Alligator mississippiensis: one gene and its partner. The protein of the gene in region 1 purifies or fractionates together with the protein of each later gene. This does not show direct contact. Links are inferred from orthologs where the notes say so. Each region holds a gene or a part of one and is shown in the gene's direction. Other genes may lie near its edges.

Region 1 (12,632 bases):
GATTCTAAGCAAAGGAACTATAATGTCAAAGTGGCACACAGTTCAGGGGAGGGGAGGAAGGGGAGTATTTAAACAGTTTTGTCAACTAGTAATCTGCTTATATAAAGCAGGTAGTGCTAGAATGGCTTCTTTTTGTTTACTTTCTCTGAAAGGTGTTTTTGAAGAGTCCTCTAGAGAGATTTACTGGCATAAGATCAGGTCAGTGCTCACGCACATAGATAAGGAAAGACAAGCAGAACAAATTCCAATGACACTTTAGAGGAAATAGAGGAGCAATGAGTTTATAAAGGTGATGGTGATGAGTAGAAAAGCCAGATCTGAAACACCCCATGTTGATACATACTAGAATCAGAGGCACACTTCAGAACGCAGCAGTAGCGCCTTGAATAGTCCAAGCAAAATTCCCCTGATAGTTTTACTACGCTTCTGGAAGCTAAAGCTGTCCAGCTAAAAACACAACAATTTCTCCTGTGATAGACAACACCTTGTATAGATTCACTATTATAATTTGTCACAATATATCTACAATAAAACCATGGTCTAATTAGAAAAATAAAGTGATCTGGAAAATATTTATTTCCAGCCCACCAGAAATAAAAGCTGTACTATACTGCAAGAAATATTCTTGGTGTGGTAGTTTCCCTCTTCTCAGTTTTTTTTCAAAGCCTGTTTCATCAACACAGCTTTCCAACAGTACTCTCTACACTAACACTATCCATGCACCATCTTGTCTTTATTTATCATGTGCAAATGTTTATGTTCCTTGCAGAAGAAACGAGGCCTTCTCTGGGGCATAGATAATGTCATGTGTATGCATAACTCTCCATAGATGAAGATATTATTCTGTTATTTTTTCCACAAAGGTGCAACCTCCACTAGGACACTGCCACCTCAACTCTAATTGGAGCAGAATTTTTTTTGTCATTGCAAACCAGACATTACATAGCTTCTGCTAACTGACAGCTAGATCTATTAGAAGTAAGTAGCTTCTAAAAGCTCAGTTTGGCAAAGTCGCTCAGTCTGGACTAAAGAAAGCCAGAGAACTAAAGCAGCAAAGTGTATGAGGCATTTGAGAGACTGTCACTGTACAGTGGCATTTGGAAAGGAACAAGTATTTGTAGGTACTCCCTTAAAGCAAAAGAAGAGCCCAGAAGCTCTAAAATGGTTTTAAATTCAGAAACTAATTTAGGCAACACATGATCAGCAGCAAGAATCATCACCTTGTTCACGCGTTCATCATCAGTCTCAATGCCTACGCTGTCCAGGATCTTCTTCAAGTCCTTTGACGTGGGGGACTCGTTGCCCCCAAGGATGGCCAGCAGGTAAGCCGCAACGTAACGCATCCTGTAACAGCACGAGAACCGTTAAGACAACAACTCTAGTGTCTGAAGGCACAGGAGGCTTGTCTCCCACTCTCTCAGGCCTGGTCTTTACTATGATCAAAAGCAGGGTCTCCATAGGAAGCAAAACACAAGTGAAGGGAAGGCTGACTGTGGTGTGCATGTGATTTCAGGAGGGGAAGGGAGTCAGGTCTAAATCACTGCTCCTTAGTACCTCTGTGATTTCTACATACTTAGGAACATAAAAACTTTCCAAGAAGAAAGCAGGTACAGCAGGACATCCAGCCCCTGGCAAATGCATCGGTAAACCAGGCCACCTGCCTCAGGTTCCCATTTTCCGACAGCCTAGGACACAAATGTCAGCCTCACACGAGCTGGCAAGCAGGCACGTTACGGCAAGAGGGAAATTAGGGAGCTGGGCATGACTTATAAGGAGAGGCTGAGGGAACTGGGCATATTTAGTCTGGAGAAGAAAAAACTGGGAGCATCTACACGTGTGTTGAAGTGCTTTTCCTAATGGACATTAAATTTAGTACCTCCTGAGGTACCAAACAAGTGCGCATTAAGCTGCCTTAATGCACAGTAACAAACGTGCAGTTTTTAAGTGATGCTTAATGCACAATAGCCTACTGTACTATGCATTAGTGCAATCGCACATTTCTTATGTGACGCTTTAATGCACAGTACAATAGGCTACTGGGCATTAAAGTGCTATGCTGACAGGCTCTGCTGTGTCAGGCTGCACCCCTCATCCAGTCCCCTGCAGTGGGGGAGAAGCGGCCGTTCTTGGTGGGGGTGTAAGGGGGAGCGTAGTAATACCCCCACGCCCCTCCTGCCCCTCTCCTCCCCACTACAGCCCCCTCCCAGGGCCGTGAGGCAGGGAGGCTGGGAGAGCACGTGGCTGCTACCCCCCCCCCCCCGCATGGTCTCGCCCAGGCCTCGCTCCCCACTGACGGCACTAGCGAGAGGGGGTTCTGGGCGCGCCCACTATAGGATATGGGGGGGAGCGGGCTCGCACACTCACTTGACCGAGGGCGGGAAAGGGAGTTCGGACAGGAGCTGGGCCCAGCAGCGTGTGCTTGCCGTACCAGGCCGGCGGTGAAAAGGGAAAGGGAAGGGCGAGTAGGGAGAATTCTTCCCGTCACTCCTCAACAAGCCACGCCGCCATTGGGCAAAGCGGCGAAAGCCAGGCAGCCAATGAGAGGACGAGGTGTTCTAGCGGCCATGACACTAGAGGTGAGGCTATGATGCCTGTTCTATGGGGGAGAAGTTATAGCGTGTGTGTGGTGCTAGATGCCTCGCCCTTTAGTGAGCGGGCTGCTGGGGTATGAAGTAGTTACCTAGGTGCCTTAAGTGCCTGTTTGTATGTGGGTGCACACCCTCTGCTGCTTCTCTGCAGACACCAGCCAGCCCCTGGCTGGGAGGATCTGTGAAACCCGCACAGGTGCTTTCCTGCAAGAGGCAGGTGCCACATTTGTAGGAGAAATTCCTTACGGGGGGGTTTCCTTCCAATTTAATAAACAAAAGGCTATTGGGTTATAGGGAAATGTCATATCTGTTCAGAAATGGAAACAGCGTTCCGGTCCCCCTCCTCAGCATGACCTGAGGGTCAGGGACCTGGAGGGAAGTCGCTGCAGTGTTTAGGCCAGTGCTTCTTAACCTTTTCAGACTTGAAGTGCCCCTCAAAAGACTCCAGGTGCCCCTCGGAAAACGCCAGCTTTCAGCTTTCACTCGGTTTTTGGCTGCAGAAAAATAACGGTACCGTTCTGCTGCAGTGAGCTTGGAAAACCCACAGCAGGGCAGAATGGCGTGAATGCTACAGGATTCCTATTTGGGGGCTTATCTTGTGACTCACGTTTGCACGCCTGAGTGCTCACATGGTGTAGCACCTTGCATCTCCCTTGAAAGGATCTCAAGGCATTGCAGCACCCGGCTTGAGCCTCACTGGTTTAAGTAGGCAGTCACACAGCTTGTACCCCAAAATGTGCGCTTCTTACTTTGTTCTTTACATCTGTGTTTTGTTCTGGTTATGTGTTTGTGTTAATAAATAATTAAAAAGGGGGAGGGGGTGGAATTGGCCTGTACATTAGACTATCTCTAGCTTTCTGATTCCTTTCCACCTAGAGCAGTGGTTCTCAACCTCAGGTCGTGACCCAAATGAGAGTTGCAGGGACAATGCATTTGATATCTGGACTCCAATACCTTGTACTGAAATGCTCAAGCCTAGTCTTCACGCAGAGGAACAGAGACGTACTGATCAATGTCACATTTTCCCCCCATTTAAGTCATAAGCTTGAAGAGTAGTTGATTAAAAAAAACAATAGATTGCATGACTGTTCTTGTGATTAAAACTGTTCAAAACCAAATATTGAGCAGAGACTGTTTTGAAGAAGTTAGAACTATTTTTTTCTGAATAGGATTTGGGTGTCTTAAAAATAGGTTTTAAAAATAGCAATTACTTTTTTATTGGAAATAGTTTCTTTTAAGCCCACTGAAATGAGATACCACCCACTCCCCCCACAGAGATTTCAGCTTTAAAATTCTTAATAGAAAAATGGAAACAGAAAAGAAAACATTTGTTTTCTCAATAATTTTCTTGGAATTTGGTTTTTAACTAGCTATAATTTGCCCATATCTCACACATTTAAAATACAGTCAAGTATTTTTTTCTAAATGCTAGCCCTACAAATCCAGGCTGCAATCAGAGTTTCTTCCTGGATTATAAATTGTCAGCAATAAAATCCTATTGTCAGCTCTCACCATTACGTCCGTGCTATTTGTGTGATTTGTCCCTGCTATTGGAATTTAATTCTCAATTCTGCAACTGATGCAAGCTAGGATAGTCTCTAGCCACCACTATCTGAACTGAGTTAGCTCTGCAAGCTAAGAGCAACAATTATTTTGACCAGTGAATTAATAAGGTCTCACTGGGAAGATTGTAACAATTTTATATATGCATTTTTTGGAATAGAACAAGTTTTGTGGGGCTTTTTTTTAGCAGCAAGCATCTTGAATCATCAAGATAGCAAGTGAGAGAATAGAAGGAGGGGTATTAAGATCCTACGAAGTGGTGAAAATGTGAGTCTGTTTTCTCATTCAAGGCTACATAGTAACTAGATAAGGACAAACTTAAATTCAGCTCTTTTGACTTCTCAGCATGGCCTTTAACTGTAGCTGTGCCACCAGGAGCCTTATTGATTTATTTATATAGAAAGGAATTCTAGTGATACTAAATTCAATGACTGCAGTATCAGGCCTTGTATTATTAAGATATAGAGAAGCAATTTTTTTACCGTTGTATACTGAGGATTTGCTAGTGGACCGATAGATGAGTTGTTTACACCTAAATAAATACCAGAAGTTGAATGTTATGTCCAGCAGACTGCATTTTTCCAAGTCCACTTTCAAAAGCAGATGCACTCAGGGATGTAAGCCATGTAGTCAGCCTAAATAACAGCCTACAGGGATGCTGTCCGTCTTTCAAAAAAAAAACCAAACAACTACTAGACACTAAAATCTTGAAGGAAGCTACATTCCTACATAACCCCACTTAAGCCAAGAGATATTCTGTCTGCAGAGCCCTTGCTGCTGGATGGAGACCCAAGCCTCCTATCACAGAAACCAAACACATGATTTATCACAGCCACAGAGTTCAAAACATTGCAGCTCTCCATAGTCACTGTGATTTAGCTTCTGCCAGGCAGCCTTACTCAACACTGTCAGAATGCTACCACCCATGTGAATACATTGTCTTTATCAGCCCAGCACCACACCTTTTCCTTGAACGATCAGTCCAACTCACCAGAAATCATCCACATATTTATTACCATCCAGCAAATGGCTGGGTTCTAGTTGCTCCTGTTGCACTCGTTATTCCATCCTTACTCAGAGATGGATGCTAACATTCACCCTACCTACTATTGCACCACATGAATGTCACAACACATTTATATAGGATTATTCAGACCACTCTGAAGTCTATACATCCTGACAAGTACATTCATGTGGCTTATTGATTAGAAGAGAGAATTAAATTACATCAGAGCACGGACCATGCTTGACGACGTATTTATTACAGCATTTATTAATGCCACAGAGCTTTGATCCTGGCTGGGCCTTTTTTGGCAGTAAATAATAGGAGATGATGATAATGGTTGCTATCAGTCACAGAGCTGGCCAAATCTGATTGGTAGGCCAGCTACCCTTCATTCAAGTTAAGTGGAAATAACAGTTATACACATTTATGTTATGATAACAGGAAACAATAGGAGACCATCACCAAAGGCAGAAGGACCCTGGGCAGAGCCTGAGTAAACTTAGGTGGTTTTAGGGATGCTCCTGGGATTGGTTATAAACAGAGGGGTTAGAAGATTAGGAGTTTGACTGTGCCCGTAGGAGAGAGAGACCAAGAGCCAAGAGGAAACCAGCTGATCGTGAGAGAAGCTGTTGTGTACACAGCCTTGTGAGGAACTGGGGTCACAGCTTCTTTTGGGCACATGCTTGAACATGCTTGAATTTCTGAACACACAAACCACCAGCTGTGTTTTGCTGCTACTGTGTTCTACTTTGTGCATATCCATTGTCTCTAAACATGATTACACTAAAGCCATTTCTGATTGATATATCCCAGCTCAGCCAATGTATACACTCAAGAGGAGCACAGAGAAAGTGCTTCAGGGAAGGTCCTCAAAGCCAACTTAAAAAAATGCAGCATCAGTGTCAACTCATGGGAGACTATCGCCCAGGACCGCCCCAAGGAGAGGAAGAGTCTGCTGCAGGGATCTCAGTACTTTGAAACCTCACAACGACAACAGGAGATGGAGAAGTGGGAGCAGCAGAAACAGCGTATTGTGGACCAAATAAAAAATCTAGCACCAACCACCCCACACAGAAACACATGTCTGAGCTGCAATAAAGTCCGTTGATCCAGGATGGGTCTCATCAGCCATCTTCGGACACACAGTAAGACAGTCATGGAAGACTGTCATCTTCGACTGTAAGGGATTGCCAAAGAAGAAGAAAAATATGTCCTTTTACCAAAAGTAGCCTGAATAGACACCACATTTTGACTAACCATTTAGGCCAACAGAGCAACAATAATAATCAGTGCTACCAACAGAGGTACATCAAAATGCCTTTATGAATGTAATTGATGTATTATTATGAGCAGCAAAGGAGATGGGGATCACATCTCAGGAATATAATTTCTGGGAACTTTTCAGGTAGTGGCTCCATGGGATATGTGTAGGATGGTTTATGGACAGCACATCCTACATCTGCACAGGGGTTTGGACTAGATAGCCTTTGAGGTCCCTTCCAGTCCTAGAATTCTGTAAGAAAATTCCTCTGTGTATGTGCAGCAACCCATATATCAGTAGTTCTCAACCTTTTTAGACTCAGAGCATCTCTCCTTAGACTCTTGGTAAAGGCCAGTTCTTGGTTTTCACTCATTTTTCACAGAAAAATAACAGCAATCCTTCTGTTGCAAAGAACCTGGAACCACCACAATGGATCACAGTGTTTTTGTTGCTAAATTCCTGCCTGAAATCTCCAGGTTTATGTCTTGGGGCATGCTTGCATACCTTGCAGTGGTACCCTGGAGCACCCCTAAAAGGCTCTCAAGGCACCCCAGGGACTACCACCACTCTGGTTGAGAATCACCTGTCTATGCACATTCAAACCACGCAAGAGGGGTTCTTTTGAGCCCCTTCCCTCCCAGGAGCAGCTAGCAGCTCCACAGCCCCTCATCCTCCTCCCCCTGGCACAACAGGGAGAAGGTGGCCAGCAGATCAGAGGCCAATCCCCCCCAAAATGTTTTTTGTTTAAAACCCTCTTGTCCCTTCCTAGCCTGGAGCATGTGTGTACTTGGTTGGGTTGCCTGGAGTTTCAAGATCTCCTTTTCTGCCCATCTTTATTTAATAGTTGCCACCTCTTTCCCAACTCTACCGTCTTCTTCCATCAGCCTGTTTTGTCCCATTTGCTGATCCTGGACTGTAGTGTCTGCCGAGGTGGGAGTGGGGCACGGTCAGTCTTCTCTGTTCAAATGGCCAGCACACTAGTTCCCTAGGGGGTCGCTTATGGCCTAGTCAGGGATGATCCTGCCTTGAGCAGGGGGCTGGACTGGATGGTCTCATGAGGTCCCTCGCAGCCCTACTTTCCTGTCGTGCTATGACCTTGGCCGCACTCCGGAGCCCCTGATTGAGATGCACTTGAGCGGGGCTGCGTCTTTAAGCCAAGGGAGGGCCTGTCCCGGGGCCGGGCCGGGCTCGGATCAGTGGCGCGCCGGCGGCCGGACCCGGTAAGAGCCCCACGGCCGGCCCGCGCCCACGTGCTCCCGCAGGGCGACGGGGCAGGGGGATCGCTCCTTCCTCCTGCCCCCGGGACCCGGCCTGCCTGGCTCGCCCCCCACCCCGCGCCGCTTCCCGGCTAGCAAACTTGTTGTAAAGTTTGCTGGGCGGAAGGGGAGGTTTCCCTGCTGCATCGGCCCGCGCACAGTAGGCTTGGGGGGAAGCGGGGAAGGGGCAAGCTGCAATCTTGCGTGTATGTGTGTGTGTGTGTGTGTGTGTGTAAGGGGGGAAGGGGCAGGCTGTGATCTTGGGGGTGTGTGCAGGGGAACAAGCTCTGATCTTGGATGTGTGTGCGTGCAAAGGAGAAGGGGCAGGCTGCAGTCTTGGATCTGTGTGTGCGTGTGTGTGGATCTAAGAGTTCCTCCCCCGCCCCTGTCTTTTTCCCCCTCCTCTAGTGCCAGGTGTTGGGGGCTGCCTCCCCTCCCCCCCCCCCCCACCGGGAGTCTGTCATTCTGGGCTTCTGGGACTTTCACCCCCAGGGCAGCTCAGGGACGATGCCATGGCTTGTGCCCCAAGTGCCCTGGAGCGGCAGTGTCATTTGGGGCCCTGCCACACATTCAAATGAATGCCAGATAGAAACCAGCTACGAAGTTGTCGCACATTTTCAAGCCCTCGCTTCGTAGCTGGGTGGCTCTCTTCACAGCTGGATGGATGTTTTTCCGGTATGGTCTTTCTTTGCATGGGTGACCAGTCTAAATTTATTGCGGGGTTCACCCATTGGTTGCAGAATGTATGTAATGGGTGGCAGGGGCCTCAGTGGCTGGAGCATTAGACAGCAGAGGGCTGGGTTGCACTCCTGACTCTGCCCCTGCTTTGGTGGGTGACCACTGGGGCTCACTGTATGACATTTCCTCCTCTGCTGCAAATGGGTAAATGATGCTGCCCCCTCCAAAACCTAGGGTTGTCAGATGAGAACAGCCTGCTGCCTTTTACATTCACTTTGACTGGGATAACGGACTATACAAATGAAGGAGGCTGTAAAGGTGAGCTTTCTTTCAGTTCATACTGTCAATGTGGTCAGTAAAAACCCAGGTTCCAGGCTGGAAGCAGACAACAGACAGAACTTTTTTCCCACTTCAGCAACCTGCGTAATTCTTAAAGGAAAAAAAATGAATGAGGATAATATGATACTGTCCACTATCACAGTAAGCAGACTCTTGTCAAGCCCTTCTTATCCTGGAAGGCTGTGTGCGTGGCCTCCACTGCTCTTCCTGCTACCTGCTAGTGCATAAACTGAGATTTTTTCCCCTCCTTTGTCTCTGCACATTTTAAGCAAATGTTTATTTCCTATTATGCAGCAAAGGAGTAGAGAGTCCACGTAAGAATATTGCATGAATCCTTGTACATTATCCCTTACTGTAATAGTAGACCATATTGTGTTGTCCTTATTCATTTTTCTCCCTTTAAGAATTACGTAGGTTGCTGATGGGAGGGAAAAAGTTCTGTCTGTTGTCTGCTTCCAGGCTGGAACTTGGGTTTTTATTGACCACATCTGTGCTTCTTGGCTGCGGTCCTTGCAAGATATTGATACTTAAAAAAATGGATGTTGCTTCATGTGTTTCAGTAGCAGTTGAAGGCACTCCTCATTTGCACAAAGAGCATCCATTTGAGTGCTTGACCACGCACCCCAGCCCCCTTTTTCAGGTGCGGTGCAGTCCATATGGCCACCACAGAAGTCAAACTTCTGTCTCACTCCCAGTTTCTATCCTTGACTCCCCTACCACATCTTCTGTTATCAGCGCGCAGGTCCTTGTGAGGAGAGAGTCTTGCTGATGGGGTATAGTGCTGCTCAGAAACAAGATGCTCCAGGGTCTGCTGGCATGCAGTCTCCTGCAGCTGGTCCTTCCCAATGCAACATCCTGCTGGGCTCATTCCCAACCACTATATTCCCTCAGTCCCTGCCAGGCCTTTCTGGCATTAGCATCTTGCCTCCATTTTCCTCAACAGGGACCAAATCAGCCCGTCCGCCGGGACCCCCGCAGGCCCCGGTGGAGGTGCACCCAGGCCCAGGGTCAGTGAGGATCTAGTCAAGGAACTTCTGGAGAGACTGGATGTATTTAAATCAGCTGGTCCTGACGACCCACCCCAGAGTGCTGAGGGAATTAGCAGAGGTCATTGTGGGACCTCTGGCATAGCTCTACGAGCACTCGTGGTGCTCTGGTGAGGTGCTGGAGGACTGGAAAAGGGCCAATGTGGTTCCCATTTTCAAAAAAGAAAGGAAGAAGGACCCAGGAAACTATAGGCCAGTTAGTCTTACCTCAGTCCTGGGAAAGCTTTTTGAGAGAGTTATCCTGGCGCATGTCCACGAGGGACCGCAGGGGAAGTTATGCTTAGGGGCAACCAACATGGGTTCATTAGAGGCAGGTCCTGTCAGACCAACCTGGTGGCCTTCTACGACCAGGTCACAAAATTCTTAGACGTAGGATAGCAGTGAATGTAGTCTTTCTGGACTTCAGGAAGGCCTTCAAGACTGTCTCTCACCCCATTCTCATTAAAAAACTAGGGGACTGTGGTATCGACACCTACACAGTCAAATGAGTCACTAACTGGCTGGAGGGCTGCACCCAGAGAGTGGTGGTGGATGGGTCATTTTCAACCTGGAGGGATGTGGGCAGTGGGGTCCCCCAGGGCTTGGTCCTCAGACCTGCACCATTCAACATCTTCATCAGTGACTTGGACAAGGGGGTAAAAAGCACCCTGTTCAAATTTGCAGATGACACGGGGATGTGGGCACGCTAGAAGGGAGGAATAGACTGCAATTGAACCTAAACAGGTTACAGAGGTGGGCGGATGAGAACAGGGTGGATTTCAACACTGACAAGTACAAGGTGCTGCACCTGGGGAGGAAGAACCCGCAGCAGACCTACAGGCTGGGGAACTCCCTTCTTGTCAGTGCAGAGGCAGAAAAGGATCTTGGAATCATTATTGATGCCAAAATGAACATGGGCCAACAGTGTGGGGACGCGGTCAGGAAGGCCAACCACACCTTGTCATGCATCCACAGATGCATCTCAGGCAGGTCCAAGGAGGTGATCCTCCCCCTCTCTGTGGCACCGGTCAGGCCGCAGTTGGAGTACTGCGTCCAGTTCTGGGTGCCACACTTCAGGAGGGATGTAGACAGCATTGAGAGGGTCCAGAGGAGGGCCACTCGCATGATCGGGGTCAGCAAGGCAGGCCCTACAAGGAGAAGCTAAGGGACCTGAACCTGTTCAGCCTCCACAAGAGAAGGCTGAAGGGGGATCTAGTGGCCTGTTACAAACTAGTCAGAGGGGACCAGCAGGCATTGGGGGAGTCCCTGTTCCCCCAAGCACTACCAGGAGTGACTAGAAATAACGGTCACAAGCTGGCAGAGGGTAGATTCAGGCTAGACATCAGGAGGTGCTACTTCACAGTCAGGGCAGCTAGGATCTGGACTCAACTTGCAAGAGAAGTGGTGCTGGCTCCTACCCTGGGGGTCCTTAAGAGGAGGCTAGATAGATGCCTTGCCGGGTCGTTTGACCCCAGTACTCTTTCCTGCCATGGCAAGGGGTCAGACTTGATGATCTGTCAAGGTCCTTTCTGACCCTACAAACTATGAAACTATCTCCCAAATCTCCCTTTAATTCCTTGGATGATCCAGAGGAGTGCCAGTAGCTCTTCTTTCTGGTACGCTTCAGCTTCAGGCTTACTTAGTGTCATCTTCTCTGGCCTGACATGGCTTGGCTTGACCCGCATGGCCTTGCTCCTACTTGCACAGCCATGCACCATCACTCTGTAGACTGAAGACAGGGCTGAGGGGGTCCAGTCCTAATTCTGCCACTGGTCTACTGGTTAACCTTGGGCGTATCTCTCCATCACTCTGTGCCTCAGTATCCCCAATTTGTATTTTGGGGACAATGATACCATCCTCCTTTGCCAAGTACTTTGAGATCTGCTAACCTAAGATGTGACCCTTTCGGTATTCATCATTATCTGATTAAAGTCTCTTTTTGCCTGGGTGACTACACCGATGAAATTCTTGGAGGTGGCTTTGTTTTCTGTCTAAAGGGAGGGAATGCTTTCTTGGTGGCTATTCCACCCCCCCTTCTTCTGTCAATCTGTGGTGAAATAAATACAGTGCCCATATGTACAGGGCTTCACTGAGTGCTTTGTCCTCTTTTTTCAGAGCCTCCTGTCTCCTTTTCACGGCTGCCTTGCAGTGGTGCTGCCAGTGCTTGCCCGCCTGGCAAGTCAGAACATGCTTGGTCCCCAGCAGACCGACAGCAGAAGATGGCCAAGCTGCAAGAGCCTGGGGATGGTTTGGGGGAGGGCATTTTGGTGGCTCCCGAGCTGGATGGATCTCGCCTTGCAGGCAACAGGCTTAACCTGGACGTTTATCCTGACGGCTGTCACCAGTTTCTTGACCTGTTTGACAAGCAAAGGAAGGAAGTGACTCAGGTGGAGTTCCTGCGGTTGAACTGCAACGAGGACCTCATAATCTCCACGCTGGCCATCTTGCCTGCCCTGAGGACCCTGAAATCCCTGGTCCTCAAAGGTAAGCCTGCGCATCTGCAGGACAAATGGACTTTCAATTTTCACTGTGCACTAGCTGCCCTTTGCAGTGGCTCCAGGTCTCAGCTGAGCTGGTTGGGAGCTGCATACAAATGGTAGATTTCAGCAAGATGCAGCTTAAGGACATTTACGCCCTTCCTTTGTTTCCACAGTGCCCGGGGACCAATTTCCTGACTTGATTCAGTCTGACAGGTGCAGTCTTTTATTGTAAAGTCACTTGAAATGAGATGTTGGGGGGAGCTTCAGTTGAAGAGAGTCTGATCTGAAGATGTTAGAATGTATGGTCACTTGTTTTCCTCCCTTCTCATCTCCCTTTTTTTGAAAGCGTAACAGTCCCTTTCACTGGATTTCATTCTGTTCTGGTTTTCTGGCCAGATCATAAACCAAATGGCATTAGCATAACATGGGGAAGAGG
Region 2 (12,203 bases), on another chromosome or scaffold:
TGGAAAGCCCCCCTTTGACTTCAGTGGGGAAGCATGTCAAGCCTGATTTCTACTATCTCTTGCAGGGCTTCTCGACTCAGGCACTGTAGGCATCAGCAGAGCAGGATTAATATGCACATAGCATCCCCAGTGCACTTGAATGAATCTCCAACAACAGATATACAATTTGTACATAGGTGTGTTCCTCTTTAGCATAATCACTAGTGACTCTACAGTAACAAAGTGGTGTCAACTGAGGTTTACACTTTCAGGTCCTTACAGTGAAGAGGGAAGATGTTGCTGCCCTCTACTGGAAAGTCATTTTACTAGCTCAATGTAGGGAAGGTTAATACAGTAACTGATCTGTACTTTTTCAAAGTTCCTGACAAATAGTGACAAAGCATTATTACCCACATTTTGAAGCCAAAGAAACTGAAGTGTAGTGAAGTTCAACTTTCTTAAAAGTGTCCACGTTTGATGAATGCTGCAGTTTTGGGGAACTCAAACTGAATCATAAAAGGGTATGATTTTCAGAGGTATTCAGAACCTGCAACTTCTGCTCATTCCAATTTAAGTTAGAGGAATTCAGTACTTCTTTCAATCAAGCTAAGTGCCTCAGAATGTAAGCACTCAAATTAGTAGCCTGGTTTTTTTAAATATTTGTACTGAAGTTTCCTGACTGCAGTTACAGTCTTGGCAGAAATTAAAATAGACGCCAGGCTGCTTGATTGCCTGGCAAGTAGAATGGGATGACTGCACTACCAAAAGGCCAGCCAGTTAAGCTGACATGTACAAGGTGGTCTTACATTATTTCTGAAGGGCACAGCTAGAAACGTTCAAACATGAAATAACATTTGGTGTTTTAAGAACGATGGTAATGAGCTACTAAAGCAGCTCATTGAGGGCTGTGGTAGATTCTCTATTACTTGAAGTCTTTAAATCAAGGTATGCTATAGCTTAACCAGAGCTCATTGAGTTAGATGCACTAATTACTGCAAGAAGTTCTGTAGCCTATAACTTGCAGGAAGTCAAAGGGGAAGATCATGATGGCTTTACTTGGCAGTCCTTTAGCCTCATAGAACAACATTATATTCCATCTATTAGGCACTAAGTGTCATCCTATTCCACCCTGCTCAAGGGGAAGGGGTGGGGGGGAAATAGATCCCCCTGCTTGCTGCTTTTTGTGATTTAGTCTTAAGGGTAAGGTGATTGATGATGTGTACAAAAGTACACATACCACAGATTTATAGGATCAAAAGGAAAGCAGTGCTAGAAGGGACCCAAAAGGAAAGCAGTGCTAGTTCAGCCCCCTGTTCATGGCAGGATCATTCCTAACTAAAACATTCCAGTCAAGTGTCTGCCCAACATTTTAACATTTTTTCAGTAGCCTCCATGCCAAATAGAGACACATGCTACTACCCAAACCAAAAAATATACGTGCAACCCTTGCCCTGTCTGATTGACCAGTTTGGTGCGTCAGGCAGGCTACCTGCATGCTACCTCATAGGCTGAACTAGGCAACTGAACCATGTGAAAAATGGCCTGCAGACTCCTTAGCACAACTGTAGTCTTCATGAGTGTTGCTCTGTCTGTGGCTTCTGCTGGCTTTTGACCTTAATGCCAGTCATTGACCCATGATTCATTGCCCTGGGGTCTGGCTCTTTGATGTCACGTTAGATTGCCCATATGTAAGCTGTGTAACATGACTAAGCCAAACTATATTGGAGAGGAATACATATTGTTTTAGTGGCAGGGTATGCATAAGGCAGAAAGCCATAAAGCACCGACTATGGCCATGAGGAAAACCCCAGAATAAGAACTTGTTGGCTGAGCGCAGGTTGAAAGTCTTGGGAGTTGAGAGCAAATTAATTTTCTATTAGTTGATTCCTTTTTGTTCAAGGAAACAGGACTTTGTACATCATCTTTAAATGAAAAGGATTGCGTCGAAGCTGCCTCAGTCATTAATTAATCCTTCTGTTAAACAATCTGCAGAGCCTTGAACGGTTTGGTTTAAAAGAGGTAACGTGACTAAGAAATTAATATTGACAGTGGCTAAGTGGCACTGTTGGCTCTTAGAGCTAACTGTGTAATCAGAGCAATAGAAGGCTACAGTAACATTGATTTCAAGCTTTTTGAAGATGTGGACAGACATAACTTCATGGGTTATATAACTTGTTCACACTTGTAGTTTTAGCTCTACAGCCATAAAGACTAGATACCTTGTCTTTTATATTAAGAAAGGGAATATATCCCAGTGAGCCACATAACGCTCTAATTTAAGCTATCTCCTACTTCTAGGGTGTTTCTGGATAGCCATAGCTCTAGGGCAGGAATTCAATTGCTACTTCTGCTGCTGAGTCACTCTAGTTTCCCTATAATAATACTTGCGTCATAGCAGCATTGTGAAATGTAATTAGTTAATGACTGGAAGCACTTTGAATATATAACGCTCTATAAATATAAATTATTTCTAAAAAATCCAGCCCTATGAATTTAGATTAAGAAAAATCAACTCACATTGGAAACTAACGTTTCCCTGCAATATAGTGGGTAACCATTCAGCACCACTCCATTGGGCAGCTGACTTGGTCATCTTATGAAAAGGACCAGGGCTAGAGGAAAAGGTGGCATTATTTGAACAATGGATTTTTGGAGCCTGAGGGTAGAAGAAATGAATGTGTTTCTACAAAACTAGGTGGTCTAAATGACCTTTGATAGCCCTTCTAACCTCATGATTCCATGAAAACCATAGTCCCTTTGGTCATAAGCATCTCAGGTAACATATATTGTGACTATCACACCTTGTAATTTCCAGCTGAGTGGAAAGTCTCTCCCAGAGTCCTCCCAGAATCCTTCATATTGAAATCTATCTGGGGGAGGAGTTTTAAATGCAGAGAGTAAATTAAAGACTTGTATGAAGTCAGAGAAAATAAGTCTTCGGAGTGGGTGGAAGAGTAGAACTATACAGGACCTGAATTATTTGTTTGCAGTGGGTTGCCTAATTAAAGTGAACCCATTCAGCTTTTTGCTGCAGATTTTACCTCAAATGGCTCTGTTTCTTTTATCAGCTGAAGCTCATCAGTGGTCTCATACAGTTGATTGGAGAAGTGGTCTGACTGGAGTTGACTGGAGAAGTTCCACTCAGAAATTCACTGGTTCTGTACCTAAAGTCCTGAGCTTGACCAGGAGTTTGCCCAGGAACCGGCTGAGGCAGCTTGCTCCAGGGCCATGGTTGTCATGGGTGACTTCAATTACCCGGACATCTCGTGGGAGGATTGCTCAGCAAAATCTGAGCGGTCGCAGAGCTTCCTCTTGTACGTGGATGACCTCTACCTGACTCAAGAAGTCTATGGGCCAACGAGAGGCAAAGCGCTGCTCGACCTGGTACTGGCTACTGGGGATGACCTAGTCGGCGACCTAGTGATTGATGGGAAGCTGGGTGACAGCGACCACGAGCTGATCACCTTCACCATCCGCCGAAAAGCTGGCAAATCAGCAACACGGAAGTCCTTGACTTCAGGAAAGCCGACTTTGACAAGCTCAGGAGGCTTGTCAGTGAGGCCCTAAGGGACTGTGACCACAGGGAGAGGGGAGTTCAAGAAGAGTGGTTGCTCCTCAAGGGAGTGATCCTCAATGCACAAACTAAGTCTATTGCATCTCAGAGGAAAGGCAGCAAGAGGGCACAGCAGCCCCCCTGGCTCTCCAGGGACCTAGCAGACCTCCTGAGGCTAAAAAGAAAGGCCTACAAAGGATGGAGGATGGGAGTCACCTCCAAGGAGGATTATTCTGCACTGGTCTGGTCCTGTAGGGAGCAGACCAGGAAAGCCAAGGCTGCAACTGAACTCCAGCTAGCTTTGAGCATCAAGGACAATAAAAAGTCCTTTTTCAGATATGTGGGGAGCCGGAGGAAAAGCAGGGGCAATGTTGGACCCTGCTGAACCAGATGGGGCAACTGACACTCAGGAAAAAGCCAACCTATTAAATAGGTACTTTGCGTCAGTCTTTCATCAGCCCCATGGGATGCCCATGCCCGCTACAGGGCCGGGAAGTCCGGGTGAGGGTGATCCCCTGCCCTCCATTAATGCTGACTTTGTGAAGGAACATCTTGAGAAGCTGGATACCTTCAAGTCAGCCGGCCCTGACAATCTTCACCCCAGGGTACTCAAGGAGCTGGCGAGCATCATAGCCCAGCCCCTAGCGCGGATCTTTGAAAACTCTTGGTGTTCTGGTGTAGTGCCCGAAGACTGGAAGAAGGCCAATGTGGTGCCTATCTTCAAGAAAGGGAGGAAAGTGGATCCGGCTAACTATAGGCCCATCAGCCTGACTTCTATCCCGGGGAAGATCTTAGAAAGTTTATTAAGGAGGCCATCCTTAATGGACTGGCCGACGCCAACATCTTAAGGGATAGCCAGCACGGGTTTGTTGCGGGTAGGTCTTGCTTGACCAATCTCATTTCCTTCTACAACCAGGTGACCTATCACCTGGACAAGGGAGATGAGATTGATGTCATATATCTTGACTTCAAAAAAGCCTTCTATCTGGTGTCCCATGATCGTCTTTTGGAGAAACTGGCCAATTGTCGCCTTGGGTCCTCCACGATCCACTGGCTGGAAAATTGGCTCCGGGGTTGGACCCAGAGGGTAGTAATTGTTGGAAGTCACTCATCGTGGTGTCCTGTGACCAGTGGGGTCCCCCAGGGCTCTGTCCTTGGACCCATACTGTTCAACATCTTCATTAATGATGTGGACGCTGGAGTCAGAAGCGGACTGGCCAAGTTCGCAGATGACACCAAACTTTGGGGCAAAGCATCCACACCAGAAGACAGGCGGATGATCCAGGCTGACCTGGACAGGCTCAGCAAGTGGGCGGATGAGAATCTGATGGTGTTCAATGCCGATAAGTGCAAGGTTCTCCACCTTGGGGAAAAAAAACCCGCAGCATCCTTATAGGCTCGGCAGTGCTGTGTTGGCTAGCACTATGGAAGAAAGAGACTTGGGGGTCATCATTGACCACAAGATGAACATGAGCCTGCAATGCGATGCTGCGGCTAGTAAAGCGACCAAAATGCTGGCTTGCATCCATAGATGCTTCTCAAGCAAATCCCGGGACGTCATTCTCCCCCTGTACTCGGCCTTAGTGAGGCCGCAGCTGGAGTACTGCGTCCAGTTTTGGGCTCCACAATTCAAAAAGGATGTGGAGAAGCTTGAGAGAGTCCAGAGAAGAGCCATGCGCATGATCAGAGGTCAGGGAAGCAGACCCTACGATGACAGGCTGAGAGCCCTGGGGCTCTTTAGCCTGGAAAAACGCAGGTTCAGGGGTGATCTGATGGCCACCTATAAGTTTATCAGGGATGACCACCAGTATCTGGAGGAACGTTTGTTCACCAGAGCGCCCCAAGGGATGACGAGGACGAATGGTCACAAACTACTACAAGATCGTTTCAGGCTGGACATAAGGAAGAATTTCTTTACTGTCCGAGCCCCCAAGGTCTGGAACAGCCTGCCACCAGAGGTTGTCCAAGCGCCTTCATTGAACACCTTCAAGATGAAACTGGATGCTCATCTTGCTGGGATCCTATGACCCCAGCTGACTTCCTGCCCTTTGGGCAGAGGGCTGGACTCGATGATCTTCCGAGGTCCCTTCCAGCCCTAATGTCTATGAAATCTATGAAATTGCAGCAGCTATACATACTCTCAGCTAATTCACAAACCCTCATTTTCCCAGAGGAGTTAGAAACCTATCCTTGTGAAGTATTCAACTATATATTGAACCAATATGGGCTGGAAGGCCCTGGCAGATGTTTCATTTATTGCACAAGAAAACTGTTAATCATGTGATTAATTAGATGCGACATATTAGCCAATTTATGACTTCATAAATAGCAAACCAGCCATGGAGATGTTCCATATTAAATGTGGATTGAATCACTTTAAATTGAGCACGTGGCAGGTTTTGGGACTGCTCTATGCCTGATCCCAATTAGCTGATTGTTGGGATCAGGTATAAGGCAAGGTCAGGACATGACTACCCCTACCTGATCCTTGGATCTCAAACTGGGACTGGGTACTGCTCTACATCTGATCCTGATGATCAACTGAGGGTTGGGATCAGGCAGGAGGCAGCCCTGAGATCCAAGACTTAGCTGCCCCCAGCTTGGTCCAGTTTGGCTGTGGCAGTTACACAACTGGAATCTGAGGAATTTTATGTCCCATCCCAAAAATCACATGTCCTTTCATGCATGTCTGGGATGGAAGAACATGCGATTTCAGGGATCGGGCACGAAATTCCTCAGATCCCAATCACAGCATTATATTCACATCTGCCAGGAGTCTGAGAATGCTTGAAGGAGTGGGTCCCTCACGCCCGCAAGAACAGCAAACCTCTCTTGGCAGGGAACTGAATCGGCTTAGCTAGACTTCTTACCAGACCCTCCACAGTGATGCTTTCCTTGTGAGATCAAGTCCCTTGCCTATACCAGGTAAACACCACCCCACCCTGGGGTTATCATAGACCACGTACCACCTGCCAGCCACTCTAGGGACCAGCCTCAAGGGCATTGGGGGGGAAGGGAGGACACGCTGGCAATCTACTAAATTCAAAGTCCTTGAAACGCTGCTACCATTTCTAGGACACGCGTGAGCCATCCGCATGGGCTTCGTACTCTTGTAATACCGTCTTTCTGAACTGGTTCTGATGCCTTTCGAGTAGGCTACGGCAGGGACCTCGCAGCAACGTACTGTACCGAGACCAAAGCACTGAGTGGGCATCAAACCCAGAAAACCCCTGATTCCCGGGATTTCCCAGCCAGGGGCTTTCTGTGCTTTCTTCACAGCGTCCAGTACCGCCTTCCCGCCTGCTTCCCCTCCTGCGATGCCGCAGCTAGGCCAAGGAGCAGGAGCCTGAGGAGCTGCCCGCTGCAGGCTCCTGCTCTCCCCACCCTCGCCTCCTGCTGGGTCGGGCTGCACGCGACCACTCCGCCACAAGAACAGCGGCGCACGCGTACACGGGACTCCATTGTTCCGTGCCGGAAACCGCTATGGCGGCGAAGTGGAGATTTCGCGCGCAGGCGCTCACGTGACCACGAGTTGCAGAGCTGGTTGGGCGCGGCCGCGTATGCGCGCTGATTTGACACGGGCTTTGGCAAGCGGGGCGGAAGCGCTGGGCGGGCTGGGCGCGGGGCCGTCGGGCTGGCGCACTGAGCGCTCGGAGCAGCCCCCAGTCCCGGCGCGGCGCGGGGCAGCCCGGGCCGATGTCGGGCGCGTGCGGGATGCAGCCGTGCCACCAGGAGGCGCTGCGCAGGCACCGCGTGCCCCTGGCCAAGCAGCTGGTGCTGCAGGAGCTGCTGGAGCACTTGCTGGCGCGCGCCGTGCTCACGCCGGAGATGAAGGAGGCCATCCAGGTAGGGCGGGGCCTCGGCCTCCGCTTCCCTTCCCGGGCTGCGGGACCTGGTCTGCCTCGCGGGAGCCGGCCACGGCACGGGCTAGGGCGCGGGGATGCGGCATTTCACATGCGGGCCCTTGTGAGCTTGAACTGAGAATAGAGGAGCTGCTGTTTCGTGGGTCGGGCCCCAGCTCCATCTTGCTCCGTCTCATATGGCCACCAGGGGCGCCCCCCCCCATGCTGCAGCTGGGCCAGGGAGCAGGGGCCTGAGGAACTGCTTGCTGCAGGCTCCTGCTCTCCCCACCCTCGCCTCCTGCTGGACCTACAGCCCTCTCTCCTTTGGTCCTGCCTCACGACCACTGCATGACCAGGGCCACCTGCAGCCAAAGGGGACCTCACAATGCCGCCACCAGCAATGTCTGCCTGTTAGCTGGTCTAGGAGCAACCCCTGTGTCTACCCTCCTGTGGTGGGTCCTGTGCTCCACTTCCTTTCTCCTGGTGTTTGTGATCCGCTAAGTCAGCAGCATGCTTCCCTTTCTTTTCTGCATATGTCCCTGTTGTCTTTTTGTGTTCCCCCCCACAGCTCCCCTCCTCCCCCCTGCAGTACAGCCTGCGGAGGCACCTTGCACCCCACAGCAAGCCACTTTCTTCCTTCCAGGCAGAGGAGGAGCATGCAGCTCCCTCCCTCACACCCCACCTGACTCCTTCCCACCATAGGCAGCAGAAGGCTGCGGCTAATGGGGCTTAGCCCCCCCAAACGCAGCTCCATTGCTCCAGCACCACTGGCATGCCCAGTGTACTTGCCATGCATCAGCCCCGCAACAGCCCCGAGTGAGGGGGAGGGGCATCTCTGCACTACTTCTCCGCATCCTGCCATGCACTCGCAACCCCAGCACCCACATAATATTTTCTCCTGCGACCGCTGCTTCCAACCTAGCCTCCCATGATATGGCAAGAGTCCCTTGAGGGAGCTGCCAATATGCTGGGGAAGACCCTGCAGGGGCAGGGGTTTCCCCACTGGCCAGTCTCTCTTCGAGGGGGGCCATGGAGCCCCCAAGCCCAACCAGGGCAGGGGAAAGGGCAAGGGCTCCTCTTCTTCCTCCTCCACAGGGGGTGGGAAGAGTAAAGGGCCTACAAAGAAAGTCCAGTTAGCAACACTTGCAGGTGCCCCTCCCACTCAGTCTTCCTTCATCTCTGCAAGCAGGGCTGCTCAGCTCAGCAGTTGGAGCTATTCCTAGGTGGCTGCAGGGAAGCTTGCAGCCTCGGAGCCTGGGCCCTCTTCCACTTCTGCCCACACATCCTCAGGCAGTTGGGGTCCCCTCCCCAGCATCAGCAGGCACAGTGGGGTGCACTGCGACATGCCTGAGATTAAGCCACCACCGTTTGAGAACTATGTGAGCTCACTCAGGCAGTGGGGGCCCCTGGAGATTGACAGTCTCCAGATACTACCGCAAGGTTATCATTTACCTTGCCATGGAGGCTGCCATACAGGAAGCGGCAGAGAAGAGGTTTGCAGTGTGGGGGGGAAAGCGTGTCCCACTCAAGCCCCTGGAGGAGCTGGGAACTCGGGTGGTCTTCAGCCCCACCCCCTTACGTCCCTAATTGGGCCCTCATGCCCTTCCTGCAAAGCCTGGGGAGAGTTCTATCCCTGGTCACCACTCTCCTGCTGGGGTGCCAGGACCCCAACCTCCCCCCACATCCAGTCCTTCCACCACCTTCAGGTGCTGTATGCCTCTGCATAGTGTATGGTCAAGTCACCATCCAGCTGGAGGTGAAGGGGGGACCTTTATTGTCTCCTTCCAGGGGTCCCTCAACCACATTAACTATATGGTGGTGGAAGTTAGGTACTTCTGGTACTGGGTACTGGGGCACCTCTGCCAAGAATGTCCCCTCAGTTAGCGATGGGGGGCACCACAGCACTCCCACCCCCCAAGCAGAGAGGTACCACCACCACTGGCAACCCAGCCCTAGCATCCAATCCCTTGGCAAGCTCAGGAGACACCCCCCCCCCCCCCCAATGCCACAGCCACCAGTGGGGTCCCAAAGCAGGGAGGGGGGCACACCAGCCCCCACCACTGCTACTCCCTCCTAGCCCCACGATACTTCCAGCATCTCAGGAAGACCCCTCCTCAGGCCACCCTGAGGCTGGCTGGGTGCTGGTCCCACATGGGTGGTGATCTACCATCCATTGCAAGGTAAAGTGCAAAGCCCAGACGCAGCTTGGGCCCTCCAGTATGAAGGAGGCTCCCCCTCCCACCATCCAAGAGGAGGGCTGACATTGATGTTATACCCACCACCTCCCGAGCTGCACCAGGAATCCCACCTCCAGGAAAAATAAAAAAGATAACTGTTACCAACATGGAAGAGGGCCCAGGATGGCAAGGCCATCCTATGTTAGATTAGCCTATGGAGAAGACTCCCTCCCCCCAACTCAGCCGGCTTTGACCTGCCCCCAACTACTACAGGCACTGGACCTCAGCCCCAGCCACCCTGGGGCAGGTCTGATGGCAGAGACCCCCACTCCGACCACCTGGGGGAGATGGGAGTCCAGGGGCTCGTGCCAGTGGGCCCCGATGGGGAGGATTCCCTTCCCCAGGACTATGGGGAGGGCACCAATGCCACCCAGGTGCGTGAACCATCTTGACAACACCACCACCTTCACCTTTGTCAGGGTGGAGGAGTAACGGATACCCTGAATTGTTGAATTGAATCTACTCAGTTGAATTGAATCTACTGGTCCATGCTAAATACCGCCCAGGTCCATGCTAAATACCGCCCAAGTCCATGCCTCCAGCACTAGGCTGGCCCCCTTCAGTGACCATCATCTGGTATGCACTCAGGTTACTCTGCAGCCTGAGCATCCAAGGCTGGCTTCCTGGCATTTTAGCAACAGCCTGCTGGAAAATGTGGTCTTTGGTCACCTTCCAGGAGTTCTGGCTGGCCTGGTGCAGGCAGCGGCAAGCATTTCCCTTGACCCAGAGATGGTGGGACATGAGGTAGGTTTGTGTCAGGCAGTACTGTTGCTTCTACATCGGGGGCGCACCTAACAGCTGCTAGAGAGCAGCTCAAGAGGGAAGTTCAGGAGCTGGAGAATTGCCTGGTTGCTGACCCAAACTATGCATCCCTGCGTGGAGAGTGTTGAGAGGGGGAAGGAGCTTTGTGCTCTGCATGACTGCTGCACCTGCGGTGCATTCATCTGCTCACGCATCAAGCTCCTTTGGGAGGTGGACTGGACTGTGGCTTCTACTGCTTCTGTGCTCTAGAGAAGAGGAGGGGTGCCAAGAGGTACATCACTTGTCTCCTGACGGAGGATGGCACCTACCTCATGGACTCTGGTGAACTGCAACGAAGGGTGAGGGCTTTCTATGCAGAGCTCTTCTCATCATATCTGGCCAATGCTGATATGGCTGCCAGGTCCTGTGGGAAGGTACTGCCATAGGTTTTCCTGGTCAACCAGGACTTGCTCAAGTGTCCTGTCACCCTGGCCAGGCTCTTGGATGCTTTCCATCTGATGCCCACCAACAAAGCTCTGGGCATTGACAGACTGACTGTGGAGTTCTGCTGTGCCTTCTTGGATGTCCTCAACCCAGACCTAGCTGGGGTTTGGGCTGTGTCTGAAAGGGATGGGGAGCTCCCCCTGTTGTGAAGGAGGGCTGTCCTGACCCTGCTGGCTAGAAAAAGGGACCCTCTTCCCTCAACCTGAGGAACTGGCACGTAGTTTCACTTCTCTCTGCAGACTGCAAGGTCATAGCAAAAGCCATTTCGCTGCACCTGAGATATGTGTGGGTGAATGTGACCAGATGTAAACAGTTCCAGGGAGCTCCATCTTCAGCATCCTGTACCTAGTGCAGGATCTCCTCAAGCTTGCTTGTAGGGACAGCCTGTCATTTGCCTTCCTGTCCCTTGACCAGAAGATGGTGTTTGACAGGGCGGATCTTGGCTACCTCACAGGCATGCTGAGAGGGTGTTTGGCTTTGGTCCCTGCTTCATTTGGTTTCTCCAGGTGCTGTACACCTCTGCAGAGCGTATGGTCCAGCACAACTGGATACTGATGGAGCCCATCCCATTCAGCTGGGGAGTGCATCAAGGCTGCCCGCTGTAAGGCTAGTTCTACCATTGCCCTCGAGCCCTTCCTCTGCCTCCTGCGCAAGTGGGTGGTGGGGCTGGTGCTTGAGGAGCTTCCCACGAGCATGGTTCTGTCAGCGTATGCCAATGTGTTCCAGAGACATGGCCACTCTGAACTACACGCACAGTCACTGCCAACATGGAGCTGATGCCGGAGCTGTAGAGCCTGCCTGCTGCTTGATTCAGCTGCCCAGAGCCCAGGCAGGCTACAAACAGCTGCACTGGGCTCCAGAGCCTGCTGGTAGCGGGGGAGAGACTGGAGTTGCACTGCCTTGGGCCCTTCCCGCAGCCTGCTCCAAGTCATGTGTGCACGTGCCAGTACAGAGCTGATGCTGGAGCCTGGCCCAGCTGTTTGCAGCCTGCCTGCTGCAGTGGCTCAGAGCCCAGGCTGGCAACTAGCAGCTGCTGCAGGCTCCAGAGCTCAGTCATCAGCTTTGTGCCGGCAGCAGGGGAGAGGCTGGGGTTGTGCTGCCTCAGGCCTGTTTCCCCCTCCCCCCCCCACAAGGCACGCGTGCAGCTGGTTGCAGACTCCTGGCTGCAGCCAGCCCCAGCTCTGGGTAACTGCTGTCAACTACGGAGCCGGGCTCCTTGCAGCAGGGCTTGCAGCTGAGCTGGCCTGATTCCTACCTGCTCCAAGCCCAGCGCTGGCCCAGCCGCTGTACTGGGATGAGGCTGGCACTGCCCCTTGCCAGGAGTGCCGCACATTTGTGGGCTTAGGT

The links.
Region 2: the proteins of PIDD1 (region 1) and CASP2 purify together in Homo sapiens (affinity purification with western blotting; 5 studies listed by BioGRID and IntAct, with this or other methods). This does not show direct contact. The link is inferred for Alligator mississippiensis from reciprocal best matches to the Homo sapiens genes PIDD1 and CASP2.

The regions. Positions count from the first base shown.
Region 1 is NC_081825.1:183,901,675-183,914,306, reverse strand, and holds the start of PIDD1 (p53-induced death domain-containing protein 1), read left to right. Parts: upstream 1-7,928; 5' UTR 7,929-8,252; coding exon 8,253-8,349; intron 8,350-8,586; coding exon 8,587-8,670; intron 8,671-11,831; coding exon 11,832-12,200; intron 12,201-12,632. Other genes in the region: RPLP2 (large ribosomal subunit protein P2), read right to left, coding at 1,221-1,343. UniProt on the Homo sapiens protein: Component of the DNA damage/stress response pathway that functions downstream of p53/TP53 and can either promote cell survival or apoptosis.
Region 2 is NC_081827.1:153,829,851-153,842,053, forward strand, and holds the start of CASP2 (caspase-2), read left to right. Parts: upstream 1-7,056; 5' UTR 7,057-7,228; coding exon 7,229-7,378; intron 7,379-12,203. UniProt on the Homo sapiens protein: Is a regulator of the cascade of caspases responsible for apoptosis execution. Might function by either activating some proteins required for cell death or inactivating proteins necessary for cell survival.